Caenorhabditis elegans: one gene and its partner. The protein of the gene in region 2 interacts with the protein of the main gene of each other region in a pairwise test. Each region holds a gene or a part of one and is shown on either strand. Other genes may lie near its edges. The genes, in order: lap-1 and ZK632.10.

Evidence for each region.
Region 1: the proteins of ZK632.10 (region 2) and lap-1 interact in a two-hybrid assay, tested with the Caenorhabditis elegans proteins (one large-scale study listed by BioGRID).

What each region holds. Positions count from the first base shown.
Region 1 is NC_003281.10:8,398,586-8,404,120, forward strand, and holds lap-1 (Leucine aminopeptidase 1), read right to left. Parts: upstream 3,344-5,535; 5' UTR 3,325-3,343; coding exon 3,183-3,324; intron 2,532-3,182; coding exon 2,212-2,531; intron 1,865-2,211; coding exon 1,516-1,864; intron 1,471-1,515; coding exon 1,341-1,470; intron 1,295-1,340; coding exon 1,072-1,294; intron 1,025-1,071; coding exon 713-1,024; 3' UTR 607-712; downstream 1-606. Other genes in the region: ZK353.2 (uncharacterized protein), read left to right, coding at 139-257, 305-394, 461-551; cutc-1 (Copper homeostasis protein cutC homolog), read right to left, coding at 3,938-4,373, 4,706-5,022; ubxn-4 (UBX domain-containing protein 4), read right to left, coding at 5,239-5,328, 5,375-5,535. UniProt on the Caenorhabditis elegans protein: Probably acts as a digestive enzyme.
Region 2 is NC_003281.10:9,825,888-9,829,375, forward strand, and holds ZK632.10 (UPF0057 membrane protein ZK632.10), read right to left. Parts: upstream 1,292-3,488; 5' UTR 1,265-1,291; coding exon 1,223-1,264; intron 1,178-1,222; coding exon 1,025-1,177; intron 809-1,024; coding exon 761-808; 3' UTR 547-760; downstream 1-546. Other genes in the region: ZK632.11 (uncharacterized protein), read left to right, coding at 2,031-2,113, 2,161-2,227, 2,274-2,353, 2,407-2,503, 2,554-2,837, 2,886-3,030, 3,075-3,284, 3,330-3,488.

The DNA of each region.
Region 1 (5,535 bases), 1.4 Mb from region 2:
ATCGAGATTTACTGTCTAAATTTCAAACTTTACGAAAAATGTTACATAATGTTCTATTTTTGTACTCTCGTCTCCATGTCCACTAGTTTTACAGGTTACTGTTCCTTTCAAAATCTTTTTTTCTCAGAATAAAAAACAATGTCATACGGATATGGTGGATACGGTAATTGTGGTGGTGGAATACTTGGATCAGTTCTTGGAATGGCTGGTGGAATGGCTGGAGGATACGGTGGATATGGTGGATATGGAGGTTATGGGTTTGTTTATTTTGAGTAGATCATTGTTCAACTCTTCGTTATTCCAGAAGATGTGGAGCAGATAATGTGTTTTATCGTTGGCGTTGTTGTGACTACAGTCCTTATGAATGTTGTATACAATTGGAGACATGGGTTGTGTGAGTTTAACTGTTTTTAAAAAGTTTTCAGAAATGCAAGAACACTTATTTTTGATTGAATTTCAGAGTATTTCTTGTCATATTCATAATTGGATTCTTCGTATGTCTTTGTGCTTGTCTAGCCGGATGTGTGTGGTCAGCTCGTAATCGTGAATAATTCCAATGTTTGACAATCAACTTATTAATTGTGATTTTGAAGGTTTCGATATGTATTTACCTCACCATTTATATGCAGTTTAAAAATAAAATAAGTAAAAACCCAGACATAATACACAGAAATAAACATGACGTATATTGAAATCATTGAATACGGGACAATTACTGTTTGAGCATAGGCACTGAAGTGTACTTTCCAAGAAGAGTCGAGAAAAGAGCTGGACCATATCCTGTACCACGATCTCCAACTTCAGCGGGAGCAGCGATATCAAGATGAAGCCAACGTAGTCCTTCGCCAAAACCAATGTGAGCACCAATAAAGAGGCCAGCGACTGCAGATGGTGGTCCATCCATTTTTCCGAGATTCGAATTTTTCATGTCAGCAATAGAAGATTTCAAGTCACCAAAGAAAAGATCCGGGGCAAAAAGCATTGGGGCAACCAAGTCTCCTGAAGCCTTTCCAGCTTTGATGATCTAAGAATGTAAAAATTAAATTGTTATTCTTTTAATGAATGACCAACTTCGTTCTCCAACTGTTCATCATTTGTCATAGCAGCTCCGTGAAGACGTCCTGAAAGCCACGCTTGTGCACCGGTCAGAGTAGCCATATCGAATATAGTTGTTGCTTTGAGAGTCTCTTTTGCATAGAAAACTCCGTCAGCAAGAATCAAACGACCTTCTGCGTCAGTATTGTTGATTTCGACGGTCTTTCCACTCAACATTTTGATAATATCATCAGGCTTGCTGGAAATTAAATCATAAAGTAAAATTGAATTGAAGTTAAATATACTTTGCAATTGGGCTGACATTATTCTCAACAATACAGAGACAAGCATGGAGAGTTTGTGAAAAACCGTGTTTGACAAGAGCAGAGTAAGCTTCAAGCATTCCAGCGGCACCTCCCATATCTCTTTTCATATCTGAAAAAATCCATTTTCATAAATAATAATTGAAGTTTTTCATACTTGGCATTCCAGTCTTGGTCTTAATTTGCAAGCCTCCAGTGTCGTATACAACTCCTTTTCCGACAAGTGCAATGTGCTCCGTCGATCCAGGAACCTCATGGGACAAGACAACAAACGCAGGTGGTGTTGGACCAGCTTTTCCGACGTGATAGATTCCGCCAAATCCAGCCTTCAACAGTTCTTCCCCACGGATCACTGTTATTTTTGATCCAGTCGCATTTCCAACTTTGACTGCTTCATCAACAAGAGCATCAGTAGTCAGGATATTGGCTGGAGTATCGATGAGTCTTGCGGTTTCACGGACCGATTCTGAGAGATCAGTAAGGAAAACTGCATCCTCGTTGGTGAGCTGCAAAGAAATTGAATGTTTGTTTTTCAATTAAAACAAAACAATTAATTCGGATTTTGAGATTGAGATCTTGAAGGACACATAACTTTCTTATCAACGGAAGTTCATGAAGACCGCCGAATTTTGCAGAAGCTATCAAATGATTCTACTAGTTCCTCTTTTTTAATTTCGTCACACTACGCAATAAACTCTTATCGTATTTCTACATTATCAGCACACAATTCCAGAAAAGAATAGTCTCCAGGCTGACTTTGCAAATAGAAGCAAGCACATGGTGTCTGCTGTCTATCAGTGATGATAAAACTATACAGATCAATATATCAAAATGAAGGATAGTTGTCACATACCTTGTCGCAAACCACATCGATATTCACATTCAGTTCACGAATTCCTGAAGTTTTCATCGAGAACTTGCAGAAGGTCCGAGCAATAGCCGCAACGTGAGAAAGAACATCTGGATATTCAGCAAACAGCACAAAATGAACATTCTTTGTATCCTCAGGATAGTTGATTGGTTTTAACTCCTTATATATCGAATGAGCATTAGTGGGGGTATTTCCACGTGAAGAGGCATCTGGGACAGTGATCAAATGAGCCAGCTCGTAGTGAAGAGGATGACGTCCTGAGGCGGGGATTCGAGAAATCATAGAGTTCCATGAGTCGCCATCTGAAATTATTTTTATATTATGGAAAAGTATGAACCATCTGCAGATGCAAAATGTTGTTCTCTTTACACCAACCATACGGTACCAGGTCTCGACAAGAGACATTTTTGTAAACTACAGGGAGGTGTGGGTCTTTTAGAGTACTGTAATTTCAAAATCTCATTTATTCTGAATGGTTCATGATTTTCCATACATACCTGTGCGGCATTTGGTTTCGGCATTTGAACAAAATGCACTTTTTCATAAATATGAAAATACGTCATACGGCATACGGCATACGGCATTCGCCATACGGCATTTGGGTGCATATCTCGAGCAGGGGTAAACTTTTTTTGAAATTTTTTTGACTGGTGACAAGCCTAAGAGTCAGGCTTCTCATCGTATGCTATTTCATACATATACGTATTTTCATATTTATGAAAAAGTGCATTTTGTTCAAATGCCGAAACCAAATGCCGCACGGGTATGTTTCCATAGTCTCTTCCGCGCTTTGTTAAAATGTATGTGTTTTTATTTAATATATGTTTAATATTTAGTATGTATATAGATATCTCTAGATATATATGAATTTTTTTAAACGAAAGTGACCATGTACCGTAATTTTGGACAAAAATCAAAAAACATCGCGTTTGTGTAATCTACCAAAACCGAACCTGTAACAAACTTTTGTGCGACTTCTTTGAATTTTCCTTCGAAAGTCACATTTTTCAAGACACTCTTCTTTCCAACAATGATTAGGCTAGTCAGGCCATCTCCAACAGCTTGAATCCCGTTACGAACGAGGACTTGTGTCATTTTTAGGTGACACTAATCACTGAAATTAGAAACTTTGAAAACCTTTTGAATTAAAAAAAAACAAAGTTGGAAAGTATAAACTATAGTATTCAGACTAAAAAAGGCAAACTCTTTTTAGAAAAAAGGTGTAAAAATTATTACTCAAATAAACCGTTTATCAGTTCCTCCAGCAGGTAGAGAAAGAGTGACCAGAGAAACATAAATGCGAGAAAAGGATGATAAAAAATGGCGAGAGAAAATGTAGAGCAAAAAAATGAGAAATTGAGAGAAGGAACAAATCTTCAGGGCGCGTGTTTGCATACATTCGTGGTCTAAAATTTGAGAGGTTGTGAAATAATGAGGAGCGAAATTTAAAATTTTAATTAAGTTCAAATCAACTCCTATATTAAAGTTGCCTAGGCATAAATAAATTGATAACCCTCACAATCCCGTAGAGTAAAAAAACATGCTACTTCGAATATCTAATTGATTAGTGAGCTTCTAAAATTAATAAATAACTTTCGGTACAGAAAAATTCTAGCCAACTAATTGCAAAACACAATGAAAATGTTAGAAACTATGATGAAGCATGCAATATAGACTGGAATATGACATGAAAAAGAATTGAACATAATTAAACGGGGGCCAATGTCGCTTTCAACATCCGTACTTCTTCCAAAGAAGTGACACGTGATGGCTGATTGTCCTGTTTTCCCATTGACACCTTATTCAATGGAGCATTTTTCTTGGCAACAGAAGCTGAAGCATGATACCAGTGACATTTAGTCCATTCGACAAGATTCGCGACATTCGAACTGTTCACACCACAACCTGCGAGAACATCGATCTTTCCTTTGTGAAGTTCTTGCATTTCTCGAATGATATAAACTCCGTCGAGTGCTGACGGCTCTTGTCCACTTGTCAAAACAGCTTTGAATCCAACATCAATAGCGTCCTCAAGACAAGTTTTCCAGTCATAGGCGACGTCAATTGCTCGATGAAATGTGACAGGATGTGGACGGGCAGTTTCAATTATTGATTGACATGATGTACGATCCAATGAACCGGCTCTGAAAATTGAAATTTTTTGTGGATCATCCAGAGCAATCAACCGTTATAATTACAAAACTTCTTTCGTAATTTTGCCGCATGTCTATGCATTTTAAATGTTTTTTAAAAACAAGCTTTCCGCATTGTTCAAAAATTAAGTCAGCCTAAAAATAATTATTTAAATGTTATGTAAAATTTTTATTGATAAACTTGATTGAGAATTTATTTGCGGAAAATGGTGAAAAATTCGAAATGAAACAAGAATATGTTTTTCTTTTTTCATTTAAACATGTTGGAAATAAAATTATAATATATTTATTTGTTTCATTCAATTTAAAACTCTCCGACTTACGATGTTAATGCTCCAAAAACGAATCCTGTGGCACCAGCTTTTTTGAGCCATTCAACGTCTTCCATATTCGCTGCCATTTCGTCTTCATTATACACAAAATCGCCTGCCCGTTGGCGAATCATACAATAAAGTGGAATATCGGGATACTTGTAGCTCAGAATAGACACAAATCCGACGGATGGAGTGAGCCCTCCGAGTTGTAAAGCTGAGCAAACTTCCAATCGATCAGCTCCACCGGCAACAGCATTTTCCGCAGATTCCAGATTATCGATGCATATTTCCAGTTTTATTTGCTTCTGGGATTCTGTTTCTGTCATCTTAACACAATAGAGTTTGAGAAAATATGTTTTTAACATTGTAAAGAATAGGTATAAAGTTATGGTTTAAAATCCGAAAACTCAGCAAGAAAACTGAACATATCTGGGATAAATGAAAACTTTTATTCGATTCGAATTATAAACGAGCAAAAAATAAATTATCCATGGCGATGAACTTTTGGTGTTGGAATCACAGGCGACAAGAAATTTACATTATTACATGAACTGAGTAGAATTTCCATTGAAACTGGCTCGCTCTTCAGGATCGTCTTCATTCGGATTTTCAAGCCCTGCGACGTTTCCACGCTGAAAATAATTTCATTATGGAAAGAAAATAACAATGCACACAAACCCGACGAACTTCCGCACTCCTTGGCATCCCGCGTCTTTGTGGTTGTGATCCTGATTGACCCGATGTAGATGGCCCATCGTTTTTCTTAGATTTCGAGTCTTGTTGTTTTCCGGTAGAATTCCAGCCAATCATACCACAGAAAATATTCCAAAAAGCAGTGA
Region 2 (3,488 bases):
AGATTTCTTTATTGATTTTTCTCGTTTTTTTTTTTTAATATTCTGACTTATATTGCGTTTATCAGCCATAATAAATGTTAAAAAGGTCGAAAATGAGAAAAATCAATGGAGAATGAAAAACAACTCTAAATGAGAGTGCGTTTTTGTAGAAAAGCTCTACAAAAGTGAGAAATAAAGTAACGTTTTCAGGCTTTTTTTCAAGAATAGAAATCTGCCTGAATATTTTTAGCGAATCAACAGCAGACGGACAGTTTCATTCAAATACTCGTATTTATACATTTGCGTTGGCGCCAGAGACACGTGATGGATAGACGAGCGGAGACCATCGAAAAAAGTAAAAATGAAAAGAGACGCAGAGCAGCACATTTTGAGGGCTGACTTGTTTCTGCTAGATATATTGGTGCGGTGTCATCGAAGGCACAGAACAAAAAGAAAAAAGAAGCAAGAAAGAAAAAAAAGAAACGAACAAACAAGACAAAAAAAATAAATCGATCGGAACAAAGCACCGATAGATCATAAAATGGTGATAAATAAAACAATGTATATCGAAAAGAGGAATGATTTATTTTTTCAATGGAGGGAATGAACACAATCTCATTAAGGCCTTAGAATGAGAAAATTCGGCAAGTGATACAGTTTTTGATCATGGACCTGTGACAATAAGTCAAAATTGCAAGGGGTGAATTAAAGGTTTACAAAGGATAAAGAAATACATTTATGTCGTGGAGCGCAAAGTAGGAACGTGTCTTGTCGTGAGCATTTAAGCCGAATAAGGAGAATAAGCTGGTGGAGCGGTTCCGTGGTCATTCTGAAATAATTTTAATTTAAACATTTATTAAGCTTTGTAGAAAGACAACAAAGGAAACAGTAGGATGAATCATGGACAAGAAACCGACCCCCTTGTAATAAATTTCAAAAAAAAAGTCACCATTTTATCAAGATTCAAGGGTATCTGTTGTTCTGAAATTTGACAAATCACTATCTTTTTCCTTTTGGCTAATCTTTTTTCCAACTATCCACTTACAGTCTGCACGTATATGTTCTGAACGACAGTCTTCTCCTTGCAAAGGATGATGTACCACGCGTGAATGATTCCTGGGATGATCCCGAGACAGGTGAGAAGAATGTTGATGAGGAGGTCACAGTTGCATCCAACATCCAGAAGCACAGCGATTGGCTGGAAAATAGTGGTTGAAGAATGGTTTCAGACTGAAGAACTCACCGGAAGGAAAATTGCAAGGATGGCGAGAAGAATCTGGCACATTTCGTTTTCGTTTCGACGAGACTTGAGCTGAAAAACAGAGATTATTGGGAGAATTGCAAGTATTGAAGATAGATTAAAAAAGTGTGAGATTTCGGTGATTAAATTAAACTATAAAGTCATCACTTCCAGCAACACGGAAGGTTTATCGATTGACGATGAATCAAAAAATTGCGCAATCGACGAACGCGATTGTGGTTAGAATCACAAGACAACACCTCGCTCGTTGGCTATCGCTGTGTGTCTGCTCTCTCTTCAGAACTCTCGTGCTCTAATACAGAGAAGCATGAAATGTGGTGCTTGGTGCCTAAGGAATTTTTTAATATAAAAGTTGACGTGTCAGAATCATTCATTTGAAGAAAATGCAGAAGAAGAAGTAGAAATACTGTGAAAATTGTTTTTAGTATGGGTTGTAATTGTTTATTTCAGACAGTAAATTGTAAAGCTAAATATGTTGTGAAAACAATTTAATTTTAGAAATATTATTTTTAATCTTCAATCAATGTAGCAATTTTCAAGAGAAAATAATGCGAAAACCTGATTTTCTTTTGATAAAAAAGAATAAAGTTTGAAAAACAAACATGTAAACAAGTTACGGTGAATGTTCACAGAACCTGCATACAGATTCGGTGTTTGCGTACATGTGTACCGTACCCACAAACAAAAAACATGCGTTGATTGGAAATTTCGCAATTAACTTTTATTTTTGTCACTAAAATTATTATTAAAATATTTAGTTTCATAATTTCTCATAAAATATTTTCAGATAATGTCCGATATTGAGATTATTGAAGAAATTCAACCAGTTTCGTTGAAGCGGAAGCAGCCGAGTACTTCTTTCAATGGAAAAAGGTTTCTTTTTGGAAAATAATCGAATTTTTTGATATTTTCCTTTTTAGAAAAAGAACTTCTTCTGGGCTTATAGAAAAAAGCGAAACAATGAAAGGAACGGAAACAGAGTTTGAGGTAACCTTCACAATATTCACTTCAGTTGATTTTTTTTGTTTTTCAGAAGTTCGTCATTGATCGCACCATCACTCCACAAAGAAAATTGAATGCAGAAGATGTAGAAAAAAGTGGAGAAGATATAGGGTAAAAAAATATATAGTTAATTCAATGACTTTTCCAATAAAAATTCATTGCAGGTCGAGCGAGTGGCGTAAACGCCTTGAATGCACTCTTCTCGGAAGCGTTTCGACCCCAGTAACTGTGAAGAAGGAGAATAACATTAGAAAGAAAATAGTAAGCTTTTATTCATTCACAAAGCTTCTTAAACTAGGAATTTGTTTCAGTCTTGTTTCAATTGTGATGGCGAACACAACCTGAGAGATTGTACTCAGCGGAAAGATTTCAGACGAATTTCAAGGAAAAAGAGGGAATCTGGTGATGGAAGGCAAAGAGTTTTCTATAATGACGTTGGAATATCAAAACAAAGAGAGAAACATTTCAAACCTGGTGTGATCAGCGATAGATTAAGAGCCGCTCTTGGATTGCGTGGGAATGATATTCCGGAGCACATTTATCGAATGAGAAGACTTGGGTTAATCGATGGATATCCGCCAGGCTGGTTGAGAAAGTATGAAAATGGTAAATTTATGCAATTTAATATTGTTATTAATTTCAGATCAATCAAATCCACCGATCAATTGAAATTCTTCGACTCGACATCCAAAGAAGATGATGAAATGTCAGTGAAGCCTCCTGAATTAGATACATCGAAAATTGTATGGTATCCAGGATTCAATGGAGAACAATCTTCTCTAAATGATGTAAGAACAAATATGTTGTCACTTTAGAAATTACATTTTTATAGCGTGAAGACTTCAAGATTCCACCAAGAGATGTATTTTGCTCAGTTTATCAAGATGAATTGCTGAAAATATTCAAGAAAAGTGAAAAAGCGGAGAAACGAAGAGCCAAATCAACTCCGAAACATAAAAAGTTCGCTAATGAAGATGATGATGATGTTATAGTAATCACAAGTGATGAAATCAAAATTGACAAGTTCAATACTCCGGGAGAAGTAAATTAAATTAAAATAAAAATTCAATATCAGTTACTTTTCCAGGAAGATTCCATTATAATACTCGACGGCTCTGCTTCAACAGAAGAAAAACACCTTTTGACTCCGATTCGAAAAGATGTAAAACTAGGAGAATCGATGTTTGAATTAATCGGAACTCCAGTGTTTGGTAGCTCTCTTCTTACTCCTGTTGCTCCACTTGAA